3 linked regions of the Saccharomyces cerevisiae S288C genome follow. Changing the gene in region 2 together with the main gene of any one other region gives a genetic interaction. Each region holds a gene or a part of one and is shown on either strand. Other genes may lie near its edges.

Evidence for each region.
Region 1: mutations in EXG2 (region 2) and TRM7 together harm fitness more than expected from each alone (negative genetic interaction), as found in Saccharomyces cerevisiae (one large-scale study listed by BioGRID).
Region 3: mutations in EXG2 (region 2) and MPH3 together harm fitness less than expected from each alone (positive genetic interaction), as found in Saccharomyces cerevisiae (one large-scale study listed by BioGRID).

What each region holds. Positions count from the first base shown.
Region 1 is NC_001134.8:364,278-367,855, reverse strand, and holds TRM7 (tRNA methyltransferase TRM7), read left to right. Parts: upstream 1-2,136; coding exon 2,137-3,069; downstream 3,070-3,578. Other genes in the region: CNM1 (Cnm1p), read left to right, coding at 1-886; YBR062C (uncharacterized protein), read left to right, coding at 1,256-1,271, 1,354-1,880.
Region 2 is NC_001136.10:977,021-981,290, reverse strand, and holds EXG2 (glucan exo-1,3-beta-glucosidase), read left to right. Parts: upstream 1-2,081; coding exon 2,082-3,770; downstream 3,771-4,270. Other genes in the region: SWM1 (Swm1p), read left to right, coding at 4,062-4,270.
Region 3 is NC_001142.9:737,427-741,864, reverse strand, and holds MPH3 (alpha-glucoside permease), read left to right. Parts: upstream 1-2,048; coding exon 2,049-3,857; downstream 3,858-4,438. UniProt on the Saccharomyces cerevisiae protein: High-affinity uptake of maltose and maltotriose. Also transports alpha-methylglucoside, glucose and turanose but not melezitose or trehalose.

The sequences.
Region 1 (3,578 bases), on a different chromosome or scaffold from region 2:
TTCTATTAAGAGAAAGAACACTTTTCCAATAATGCCTACGAGCTCACCTAAAATAGATGATTGTAGGTTCAAGACTGGTGATACCATATCCATTGTAATAAACTTTAATGAAGACTGCCTCAATAATCGAAGTGACGTTACCGAAGAGAGAAATTATGAGGAATCCACAGTTTTACATTCAAAGGAGTCAGTTCTCAGCATTGGTAGGCAAAATATGGTAACTTTGAACCAAAGCGATGAAAATTTCACCTATGGCAATTTTGATGAGTACGACTTATTAACTAAAGATTATACAACAGAGGTCTTAACGCGATCACCTGGCTCGAATCCCGAGTTTAAAGCAGTGGTAAATAATACATTACTTGATAGCGCGAATGAAACGCCGTTTAAAGGTATTGAAAAAAGTATTAACGAAACAATGGTTAAAGTTCCTATGGGATGCGATGTATCTCTCTCCCATTATGGCAGACAATACGCGCCTGGAAATATTTCAATTATGAGAAGCTTCACTGCTCGAGATAATACTAAATCTGTGAGTAGAGAAATTCGTGATATCTGTAAATCGTTTTTGATTATAAAAAGCCAATTTGGTGACGAACTTTTCCTGACTATGTTCATGGAAAAACCAGTTTTCTTTGATAACAACATCCCAATTGAAATAACTGGAGCATACCGAGAAAAACGAGAGCGATTAGATGAAGTGATTCATAAGGATCTTATCCGCTATGATGAAGTTCAAAATTTGACAAGGATTCGCAATTTGCTCCGGGTTAAAAGTCAAAAGATTTGTTCCAGGAGACATAATAGTTCGGTTCCCACAAAAAAATTGTTAGTTAATGATAAAGGCGCAACTTCGATTCTACTGTGGTACTCTAACTATTCATAGATAAAGTTTATTTGATACATAATCCGGAAAATGTAAGATATGCCAACTGTTAACTAGAAAACATCTGTACTCTATATATCGGAAACAAAAACTTTACGGGTACAACCATGATGAATAAGCTCGAAATTTTTGCCTTCCATATGAGTCCCATTTTGGTGACCAACTCTCCTACCCGAATTACTGTGATGATATATACTCTTCGTTTTCTAGTAATGGCTTCATTTTGCCTAAGTTGGTCAAAATTGTTGTGGGCGGCTTTTGTTTGCACCGAGGAGCGCTCAGTTCGTTATAATACCAGTTTTGCCACTCCTAAACTACTAAAGAAATAATAGAAAGATATATTCATCAAACATAATCACAATCAAAAAAATGTCTACATATGAAGGTATGTAATGATATATTATGAAGTAAGTTCCCCAAAGCCAATTAACTAACCGAATTTTAATCTGCACTCATCATTAGATTAGAGGAACATGGAATACAACAAAACTCAAGGGATTACCAAGAAGTAGGAGGAACTTCACAGGAGGAGCAGAGAAGACAGGTCAGATCCCAACTGCAAGGTCTATTTCAAAACTTTGGTAACACCAGTGGTGAGGGTGATGCACATTCAGATTCAACACTACTTTTACGATTATTATCGCAAATGCTTCCAGAATCATTACAGGAAGAATGGTTGCAAGAAATGGATAAAGGCAAGAGTGCGGGCTGTCCTGATACTTTTGCAGCCTCTTTACCACGAATCAATAAAAAAAAGCTCAAAGCAACTGACAACTGCTCCATTTGTTACACTAATTATTTAGAAGATGAGTACCCCTTAGTAGTTGAATTACCTCATTGCCATCATAAGTTCGACTTAGAGTGTTTGTCTGTCTGGCTATCTCGAAGTACAACATGTCCATTATGCAGAGATAATGTTATGGGCCACCGAATCATTAATGAGATTGATACAACTGAAGCAGAACTGGAAGAAGATTGGGGTATGTACGGTTAATATCTTTCTTTTATATTATATAAAGACACCAAACCTAAGTAGAATAGGTAACTACGTCTTCTTTCACAGAAGACAGACCTACAAGTATTTTGATTATCATGATGAAGTAAAAGCAACGATAAACTTTTTACTAGGTATTATTATTCTGCGCTAACAATAATTATCGCGAGTTGAAAATTTTCAAGCGATGCTCCTAACATTACTGTAAAACAACAGTAGATGAGTACAAGGCAAGCTTAAAAAGAAAGTATTCAAGATGGGTAAGAGCAGCAAAGATAAAAGAGATTTGTACTATAGAAAAGCAAAAGAGCAGGGCTATAGGGCTAGATCTGCTTTCAAACTACTTCAACTCAATGACCAATTTCATTTCCTGGATGATCCAAACTTAAAAAGAGTTGTAGATTTGTGTGCAGCACCAGGTTCATGGTCACAAGTGCTCTCGAGAAAACTGTTTGATGAAAGTCCCAGTTCAGATAAGGAGGACAGGAAAATTGTCTCTGTCGATTTACAACCGATGTCCCCCATACCTCATGTGACAACGTTGCAAGCCGATATCACTCATCCTAAAACATTGGCGAGGATTCTAAAACTGTTTGGCAACGAAAAGGCCGATTTTGTTTGTAGTGATGGTGCACCTGATGTTACTGGGTTACACGATCTTGACGAATACGTGCAACAACAGTTAATTATGAGTGCGCTGCAACTTACTGCATGCATTCTGAAAAAAGGTGGAACTTTTGTGGCAAAGATCTTCAGAGGTCGTGATATAGATATGCTATATTCCCAATTGGGCTATCTATTCGATAAAATCGTTTGCGCAAAGCCAAGATCATCAAGAGGTACATCTCTGGAAGCTTTTATTGTTTGTTTAGGCTATAACCCACCATCCAATTGGACACCAAAATTAGATGTAAATACATCCGTTGATGAATTTTTTCAAGGCTGTTTTTTGAATAAATTGTGTATATCAGACAAATTGTCTCATTGGAATGAAGAGGAGAGAAACATAGCCGAATTTATGGCTTGTGGAAGTCTTCAAAGTTTCGACTCAGATGCCACTTATCATGACCTACCTTCTTCGGTTGCAGGCACTTCATCGTCCTTAGATCCTGTTCAAAGCCCGACGAACCCTCCCTACAAGAAAGCTTTGGAATTAAAAAGGAGCGGGAAACTCACTAGATCAGTTTGATTGCAATATTACTACCTCTAATCAAACAATTAAATAAGTCACTACATTATAAGATTATCTACAAAATCAACTTTTCCTTGCAATCATTAAAAACGATATAGGTTACGGTTATGTAGAATATCCATTGTATAATATAAAAGAAAATGAAACAGTAATTATATTATATTATATTACATGCAAGCATTGAGGAGTATGGCAATCATTTTTCTTCTTTTTTACTTCACCTCGTCTCTTAAAACATCTGCTTTCGAATTTGCGAGTAATAGAACTTTCGAATTGTGACAGAACCATTGAGAACATGGTGAATCTGTCAATATTACAACCCAAAAGCCGGTTGGTGGTAAACCGTAGTACGGAGCATTACAAAGGATTCCATCGTATAAATTATGCATAAGCATCACCTTGATCCATTTGCCTTGCTCCTATTGCCCTGCTTGTTTGTAGGAAAGCCCCTTTTGGTCAAACGAATTGTTCAGTTCGGGTTTACGCATTACATATCTCCTTTTTAG
Region 2 (4,270 bases):
GCTTCCACTAATTTAGATGACTATTTCTCATCATTTGCGTCATCTTCTAACACCGTATATGATAATATACTAGTAACGTAAATACTAGTTAGTAGATGATAGTTGATTTTTATTCCAACAAGACGATAGTGGATTTTTATTCCAACAAGTTGCATGTGTGTTTTATTAACGTTTAGATGTGTGTCATAATACTGCATCATACTATCTAATAATATTCAAATTACTTGTAAATTGAGGCAACTTGGCCGAGTGGTTAAGGCGAAAGATTAGAAATCTTTTGGGCTTTGCCCGCGCAGGTTCGAGTCCTGCAGTTGTCGTTTTTACCAAAAATTTTCCTCAATCTTTTTAATTTTACTTTAATAGTACCAGAATGACAATGCGATAAAAAAGAATAATTTGAAAGGGCACAAAAATGGCAAATAGTGCTTGGATCGTGAACTCTAGTCTTTTTTATACCTACGGCTGCCCTTCTGCCTGCAGCATACATTAACTATCAAAGAATTCGGTTGGTCGATGAGCCATAAATCGATGAGAAAAAGTATGCTTTAGTGTTACACGATATTTTACGGACAAACAGAAGGTTTCGATATCGAGGTAACCGCATCACGACTTATCGCATTTCGGAAGTTGCAGCGCACTTTGTAACTGATGGCGAAGAGCAAAGACTATGTGAGTTATTATACTTGCGAAGGAGTTTCACATATATTGTATATTAGCTATTTTCATAACAACAGTCATAATCCTCCGTTCTGCAGTCGTTCAATAAAAAATACGGCTTTCCCCCCTCTTTATTCGTACAGAAAACTTTACGCTCTGGCTTCTTCTGCTCATTTAGCAGACCTTCAGTTCTGACGCACGGCTGATTATCAATGATTGTCAAAGTAGCTGTCGCGACCATGTTCAAGATTTTTTAGAAAGAAAACATAGAGTCAATAAACCTAGAAATAGAACATATCATATGCATATCATACCAATCTTCATGCCAGGTGCACATAAGCAGTATTTTAAGGGGGCTATTTGACGGAGTACCTGAATTGTAACATATAATCTTAGTAGACTAAATTGAAAACATGTAAAAATAACAAAAAAATAAAATAGAGAATACACTGTATACTGAATAAGCAGATTATAGTTAAAATCTAACTAGATAGAAATAAAAAAATGCCAAATAATGTTAGATAAAGCAGAGGTTGAAAGAAAAAAATTATATACAGTCAACTAAGTACATCAACTTTGCTGTGGCAGGAACACAAGTATCATATTTTGTACGTCTCTATGTTCAGTATTTGTCGTTAACTAGTCTGTTGTCTATTATACCTAGTAAATCCTGAATATTTTAAGGTAGTGTCAAGTGATATGTTGACTGTCAGTCCTGGATATACCATATATAACGATATCGATAATGATACAACTCGTTCAGTTATAAGTTATTCATTGCCAATCGAATATGCATAATCTGGTTATGGAGGCCTAATTAAATCAAGTATCTCAAGATATAGAGATTCCCCAAGATCACCAGACAAAGTGAAAAAGGTCCTAAAACGATAATGTTAACCTGTGATACTACAAACAAATATCCAGTTTCGCCAATCCTATTATCCTCGGGTACATGTCTATTAATCATTTAATTTATAGATTTACTAAAAGCAGTTATGTCATAACGTGATTTTTACAATATTCACTTCGTAGTAGTGAAATATGCACATGAAATTGTATTGGGATACATTTCGATTCACTTTTTGACTGATAATCTGCACAATTAATGCCCAAATTTTATCATTATTTTCAAACCACTAAAACTACGTGAAATTGCCATTTAAAAATAATGTGTGCGTTTATTTTGAAACATCACAAGGTCAGGGACGCTGCAAAAATGTGTCCCTTTAATTCTATTTACGGACAGAGTTCAAGAAATAAGTCCCGCGAAAAAAGAAGAAAATAAACAATACAATGAAAAACGCAAATTCTCGAGAATACGTCGTCGCCTATATAAATTTGAAAACTCTTTTCCTTGGCTGAGATTTTAGCGCGTTCTATAGAATAGTCAATTGTAGACCGTTCGTTACTTGGGACGTCCTAATATGCCTTTGAAGTCGTTTTTTTTTTCAGCATTTCTAGTTTTATGCCTGTCTAAATTCACGCAAGGCGTTGGCACCACAGAGAAGGAAGAATCGTTATCGCCTTTGGAACTAAATATTTTACAAAACAAATTCGCCTCCTACTATGCAAACGACACTATCACCGTGAAAGGTATTACTATTGGCGGCTGGCTAGTAACAGAACCTTATATCACGCCATCATTATATCGTAATGCTACGTCACTGGCAAAACAGCAAAACTCTTCCAGCAATATCTCCATTGTCGACGAATTTACTCTTTGTAAAACCTTAGGATATAACACCTCTCTAACTTTATTGGATAATCACTTCAAAACTTGGATTACAGAGGATGATTTTGAACAAATCAAAACCAACGGTTTCAATTTAGTTAGGATCCCCATCGGATATTGGGCGTGGAAACAAAATACTGATAAAAACTTGTACATCGATAACATAACTTTCAATGATCCATACGTAAGTGATGGATTACAACTGAAATATTTAAATAATGCTCTCGAATGGGCGCAAAAGTACGAACTAAATGTATGGTTAGATCTACATGGTGCTCCTGGATCCCAGAATGGATTCGATAATTCCGGTGAAAGAATACTCTATGGCGATTTAGGCTGGTTAAGGTTGAATAATACTAAAGAACTGACTCTGGCTATTTGGAGAGATATGTTCCAGACATTTTTAAATAAAGGTGACAAAAGTCCTGTGGTGGGTATTCAAATCGTCAACGAACCGCTTGGTGGCAAAATCGATGTTTCAGACATAACGGAGATGTATTACGAAGCATTTGACTTGCTCAAGAAAAATCAGAATTCGAGTGACAACACTACGTTTGTTATTCATGACGGTTTTCAAGGAATCGGTCACTGGAACTTGGAGCTAAACCCAACCTACCAGAATGTATCGCATCATTATTTCAATTTGACTGGTGCAAATTACAGCTCTCAAGATATATTGGTCGACCATCATCATTATGAAGTGTTTACTGATGCGCAATTGGCCGAAACTCAGTTTGCACGTATTGAAAACATTATCAATTATGGGGACTCTATCCACAAAGAACTTTCTTTTCACCCAGCAGTAGTCGGAGAATGGTCAGGCGCTATTACTGATTGTGCAACCTGGCTAAATGGTGTTGGGGTGGGTGCACGTTACGATGGATCATACTACAATACAACGTTGTTTACCACCAACGACAAGCCAGTTGGAACATGTATATCCCAAAATAGCTTAGCTGATTGGACGCAAGATTACCGTGACCGTGTGAGACAATTCATTGAGGCACAGCTAGCCACTTATTCGTCAAAAACAACGGGATGGATTTTTTGGAATTGGAAGACCGAAGACGCCGTAGAATGGGATTATTTGAAGCTAAAAGAAGCTAACCTTTTCCCTTCCCCTTTCGACAACTACACGTACTTCAAAGCAGATGGATCTATCGAAGAAAAATTCTCATCCTCTTTATCAGCACAGGCATTTCCAAGAACAACGTCATCGGTTTTGTCCTCCACTACGACTTCCAGGAAGAGTAAGAATGCTGCAATTTCTAATAAACTAACAACTTCGCAGCTATTACCAATCAAAAATATGAGTTTGACCTGGAAAGCGAGCGTATGCGCACTCGCTATCACCATTGCCGCTCTTTGCGCTTCTCTTTAAAGTAAACGGCAACAGTGTGGTGCGTTTAATGGTGCTAATTATATATACACTTTTCATTATATTATTATAGATACTCAGAACGTAGGCACTATGTAGAAAAGCACCCAAAGTTCGAAATATCATATGATATACTTCTATGCATGTCGTAGAAAAAGACAACAATCTGAATTGCAACCTCAAAAAAAAAAATCTTAGTACTACATCATATTTGTGCCGTGGCCTAGCTGTATCGTGAGAGAAGGGAGAATAATATCAGAGAAGTGGGGTGAGCAAAGTATAACAACCACGATTATGAGTTCAAGTTCTTATAGGGATTCATATTTTCAATACCGCCATTTACCAGCACCACATCACATATTATATGCGGAATGGAATCAAGATATACTGGCGCTTCCGGACGAAGTGGCAAATATTACAATGGCTATGAAAGATAATACTCGCACCGACGCGGAGGAGGGAAGAGCTCCCCAAGATGGGGAAAGGAATTCTAATGTACGCGA
Region 3 (4,438 bases), on a different chromosome or scaffold from region 2:
TACAACAGGACCAGCTTCACTGTTTTTACCGTTGATTTAAAGATCACCTTTTGACTATTTTATATGCCAATTCAGAAACCGTTATAATAGAAGTTTTCTACTACAAAATTTACAGGATGTTGTAGCTTGATTGCATAATATTTTTTTAAAACGGATAACCACCAACCCTCGTCAGTGACTTCCCATTATGAAAATTTTCTCTTCTAATCCTTTTTGGTACCCTTTTTCCTATCATGCGCCTCGAAACAACTTCCATAGTACGTGCCTGCTACTGTGAGTAGTTTACTGCCGCAGTCAAACACTATACTGATTCAGCATCCATCAGTAAGTGCGCGCTAAAACGACAACTTTTTCGTACCTTTACAAGTAAGGAGTGGTTAAGGTGTATAGCTCATACTAGATATTAAACTTCGGAGAAAAGTCCCTGTTTCAATGACAAATATGAGTTGCACAATAGAATTTTTATATCTATGATTACGCTTGGTAGGATGAAACTCTTAAATTCCGTTATAAGTTTTATAAATCGCCGTAATTGCAAAAATACAGGGTGATGCGTATAAGTCTCATAAAAATCAAATCATTCCCTCTATTGCAACCATATCAAATTTTGATGATGATTATTTTACAATTTTCATTGCCATGGATGAAAATAAACGCTGATATCTTTATAATTAACCCGGAATGGAAATTGTGCACAGTACATCAATGGCGTTTCGAGTATTAAGACCTGTGATTTAGAGCCAATTAGCCAAGTAAAGCGACATTTCCTTTCTATGTTTGGCATCTTTTTTTTTTGGCCTTAAAACAGTGTTTCTATAAAATTAAGGGCCAACTCTTACAATAGTAATGAGATTAATAAGGCCCAAAGAATATTTTGGCCATTTCTTTTTCGTACAACCATATAGTTTTCTCAAGTAGCGACGAAAGAGAGATAACTGAAACAAAATGTCATGGAAGAAGTGCTTATATTAAAAAATCTATGTCGGAAATATTTCTATAGGGAAAAGTATACTAAAATCTTACTCGAGCTTTGAAATGAACAAGCCTAAACCGCCCAATTCCAAGATCTTTAATATACTATAACTTGAAAGTCATACCTGTTATATCACTCCAGAGGTTATTGTGGGAGCATATTTAATGCTTTGTGGGTAAGCTTGATAAACTGTAGTTCTACCACTTTTCCCAGGATACTGATTATGGTAAAAGTTCTTATTTGTCTTACGACTTAGATTTAGCACTCACATTTGTCATCATATGTTGAAAAATCAAGCTGGAATTTATTGGTGGATCTTTCATCTCCATTTATACTTTTTACTTGTTTTTCTCCAAGCAAAAAGATTTCACGTTGTTCGGGAGGTAAATATGAAGTAGGAGAGCAGTCAGGTAGAGTGGTTATCCCATCAGCCAGAACCTGTCCGTAAACAGGTTGTGGACTACAGTATGTGTGTTTTTTTCTTTCTAATTACTCAATTTGGATATTTTGGTGACTATAAAGACCTCTCGTAAATTTCTGAAAATATGCTTCGGTTCGAATCTGTGGTCTGCAGTGCAGCGTGTTGGTATTTTACCGACAGTTTTAGCGAAATATGTATAGATCTGTCACGCTTGCAACATCGCGACAGGTCGATATACTAAAATTACAGCATGAATTTCTGATCTATAATCACACTGTTGCAGTTTCCAGAGAGTCAATCATATTAAGTCCTCAGTTTGAATCAATGTTGGCTTTGTTCTTCTGGAGAGGAATCAGCTCGTTATATGTTTGTCTTTTTCTCTGCTCGAGAGTCATCGCGACATTCCACACCCCGCGTTTTACGTGCACAGAATCTTTCGTAGAAGGGAGCATTTGACATCCTGTCAGCCATATGCAATGAGTATGCCACAAGTTCATGATAGTGTTGACTATAGAATATAAAAAAAAGGTGGGGTCATCTGTAATCGTTGTTTGTAATTCTTAGAGGCCTGTTCTTGGAATTATTATGCAAAGATTACCATCACAAAATCTAACACAAATAGAGATACAGGTCTTGTAAAGCCATTACCTAGCTATGAAAAACTTATCTTTTCTCATAAACAGAAGAAAGGAAAATACAAGTGACTCGAATGTATACCCAGGAAAGGCTAAGTCGCATGAACCCAGCTGGATAGAAATGGATGATCAAACTAAGAAGGACGGCTTAGATATTGTTCATGTTGAGTTCAGTCCGGATACAAGAGCGCCAAGCGATAGCAATAAAGTAATAACAGAGATATTTGACGCTACTGAGGATGCCAAGGAGGCAGACGAAAGTGAAAGAGGAATGCCACTTGCGACAGCATTGAATACATATCCCAAGGCAGCAGCTTGGTCACTATTGGTCTCTACAACTTTAATCATGGAAGGGTACGACACAGCTATTCTTGGAGCTTTCTACGCCTTGCCTATTTTTCAGAGAAAGTTTGGCTCACAAAATGACAAAACTGGAGAATGGGAAATTTCAGCGTCATGGCAAATCGGGCTGACCTTATGTTATATGGCAGGTGAAATTGTGGGGCTACAGCTAACGGGGCCCTCCGTGGATCTTGTTGGAAATCGTTACACATTGATTATTGCATTGTTTTTTTTAGCTGCCTTCACTTTTATACTGTACTTTTGCAATAGTTTAGGCATGATTGCTGTGGGACAAGCATTGTGCGGGATGCCATGGGGTTGTTTTCAGTGTTTGACGGTGTCTTACGCTTCTGAAATATGCCCATTGGCTCTGAGATATTACCTTACAACCTATTCAAACTTGTGCTGGTTATTTGGACAACTTTTTGCAGCTGGAATCATGAAAAATTCTCAAAAAAAATATGCGGATTCAGAATTAGGATATAAACTACCATTTGCCCTACAGTGGATTTTGCCAGTTCCTTTAGCACTGGGAATTTTTTTTGCACCTGAATCTCCATGGTGGCTAGTTAAAAAAGGAAGGTTTGATGAGGCAAGGAGATCACTTAGAAGAACTTTAAGCGGCAAGGGACCTGAAAAAGAAATACTAGTAACTCTGGAGGTGGACAAAATAAAAGTGACTATAGATAAGGAAAAGAGACTCACAAGTAAAGAAGGCTCCTATAGTGATTGTTTTGAAGACAAGATTAATCGAAGAAGAACGAGAATTACTTGTCTCTGCTGGGCTGGTCAAGCCACTTGTGGTTCAATACTAATAGGTTATTCAACTTACTTTTACGAAAAGGCTGGCGTTAGTACTGAAATGTCCTTCACTTTTAGTATTATTCAATACTGTCTCGGTATTTGTGCTACATTTCTATCTTGGTGGGCGTCAAAGTATTTTGGTAGATATGACCTTTACGCTTTTGGACTAGCCTTCCAAACCATTGTTTTTTTCATTATTGGCGGTTTGGGGTGCTCAAGTACGCACGGTTCCAAAATGGGAAGTGGTTCTCTTTTAATGGCTGTAGCATTTTTTTACAATTTAGGAATTGCCCCGGTCGTTTTTTGCCTAGTCTCTGAAATGCCATCTTCAAGACTAAGAACGAAAACAATCATTCTAGCACGTAACACTTATAATGTGGTCAGTATCATATGTAGCGTTCTCATCTTATACCAACTGAACTCTAAGAAGTGGAACTGGGGCGCTAAGTCAGGCTTTTTCTGGGGTGTCTTATGCTTTTGTACTTTAATCTGGGCTGTGGTTGACCTACCAGAAACTGCCGGAAAGACTTTCGTGGAAATAAATGAGTTATTTAAACTTGGAGTTTCTGCAAGAAAGTTCAAATCGACGAAAGTAGATCCGTTTGTTGTCAAAACCCCCCCTAAAGACGTCTCTCATAACGACCCCAAGGGAGATATCGAAGCTTCCATTGCAGAGGAATAGCAATGTATCCCATCACTTATGAGCTAATGAACATTTATCGACACAGGTAAATAGGTAACTATGGTATTTACTCTACATGTTACGGAGTATAATACACGTAGATTTGTTTCTTCCTCATATTCCCATGACATGTCTCAGTAATTGAACTCAAAGTAACATTTAGCTTTCTTCTTGATCATTGCGTTTGGAAATGTATAGTTAGAGAAAAGATTCTTTCTCATCCGAGTATGGCGCGTGAAGAAAATGAAGATGGAGTTGTCGAAACAAATGGTCATCGACATTAGTTTAATTGTCATAGTAACAGTCTGGGCACTCACTTCGTACATCCCTTATACATTTAAGTGCAATTTTACCTATTCTAAAAATAGAAAAAATCTCGAATGAGCAGTTCTGGCAGTACTGAAACTGAGTTAAAAATCTATCAACTGGAAGTAATGCGGTAGTTTTATATATGAGCAATATATGCCGTCAAATTATATGTACAGTAGCTACCAGAGCGGTTATTATATTGTTCTTAATCAATAATAAACAAATCAGAGTATATTTCATAATTTCCTCTTACATTTTTAAGAAAAAAGGGT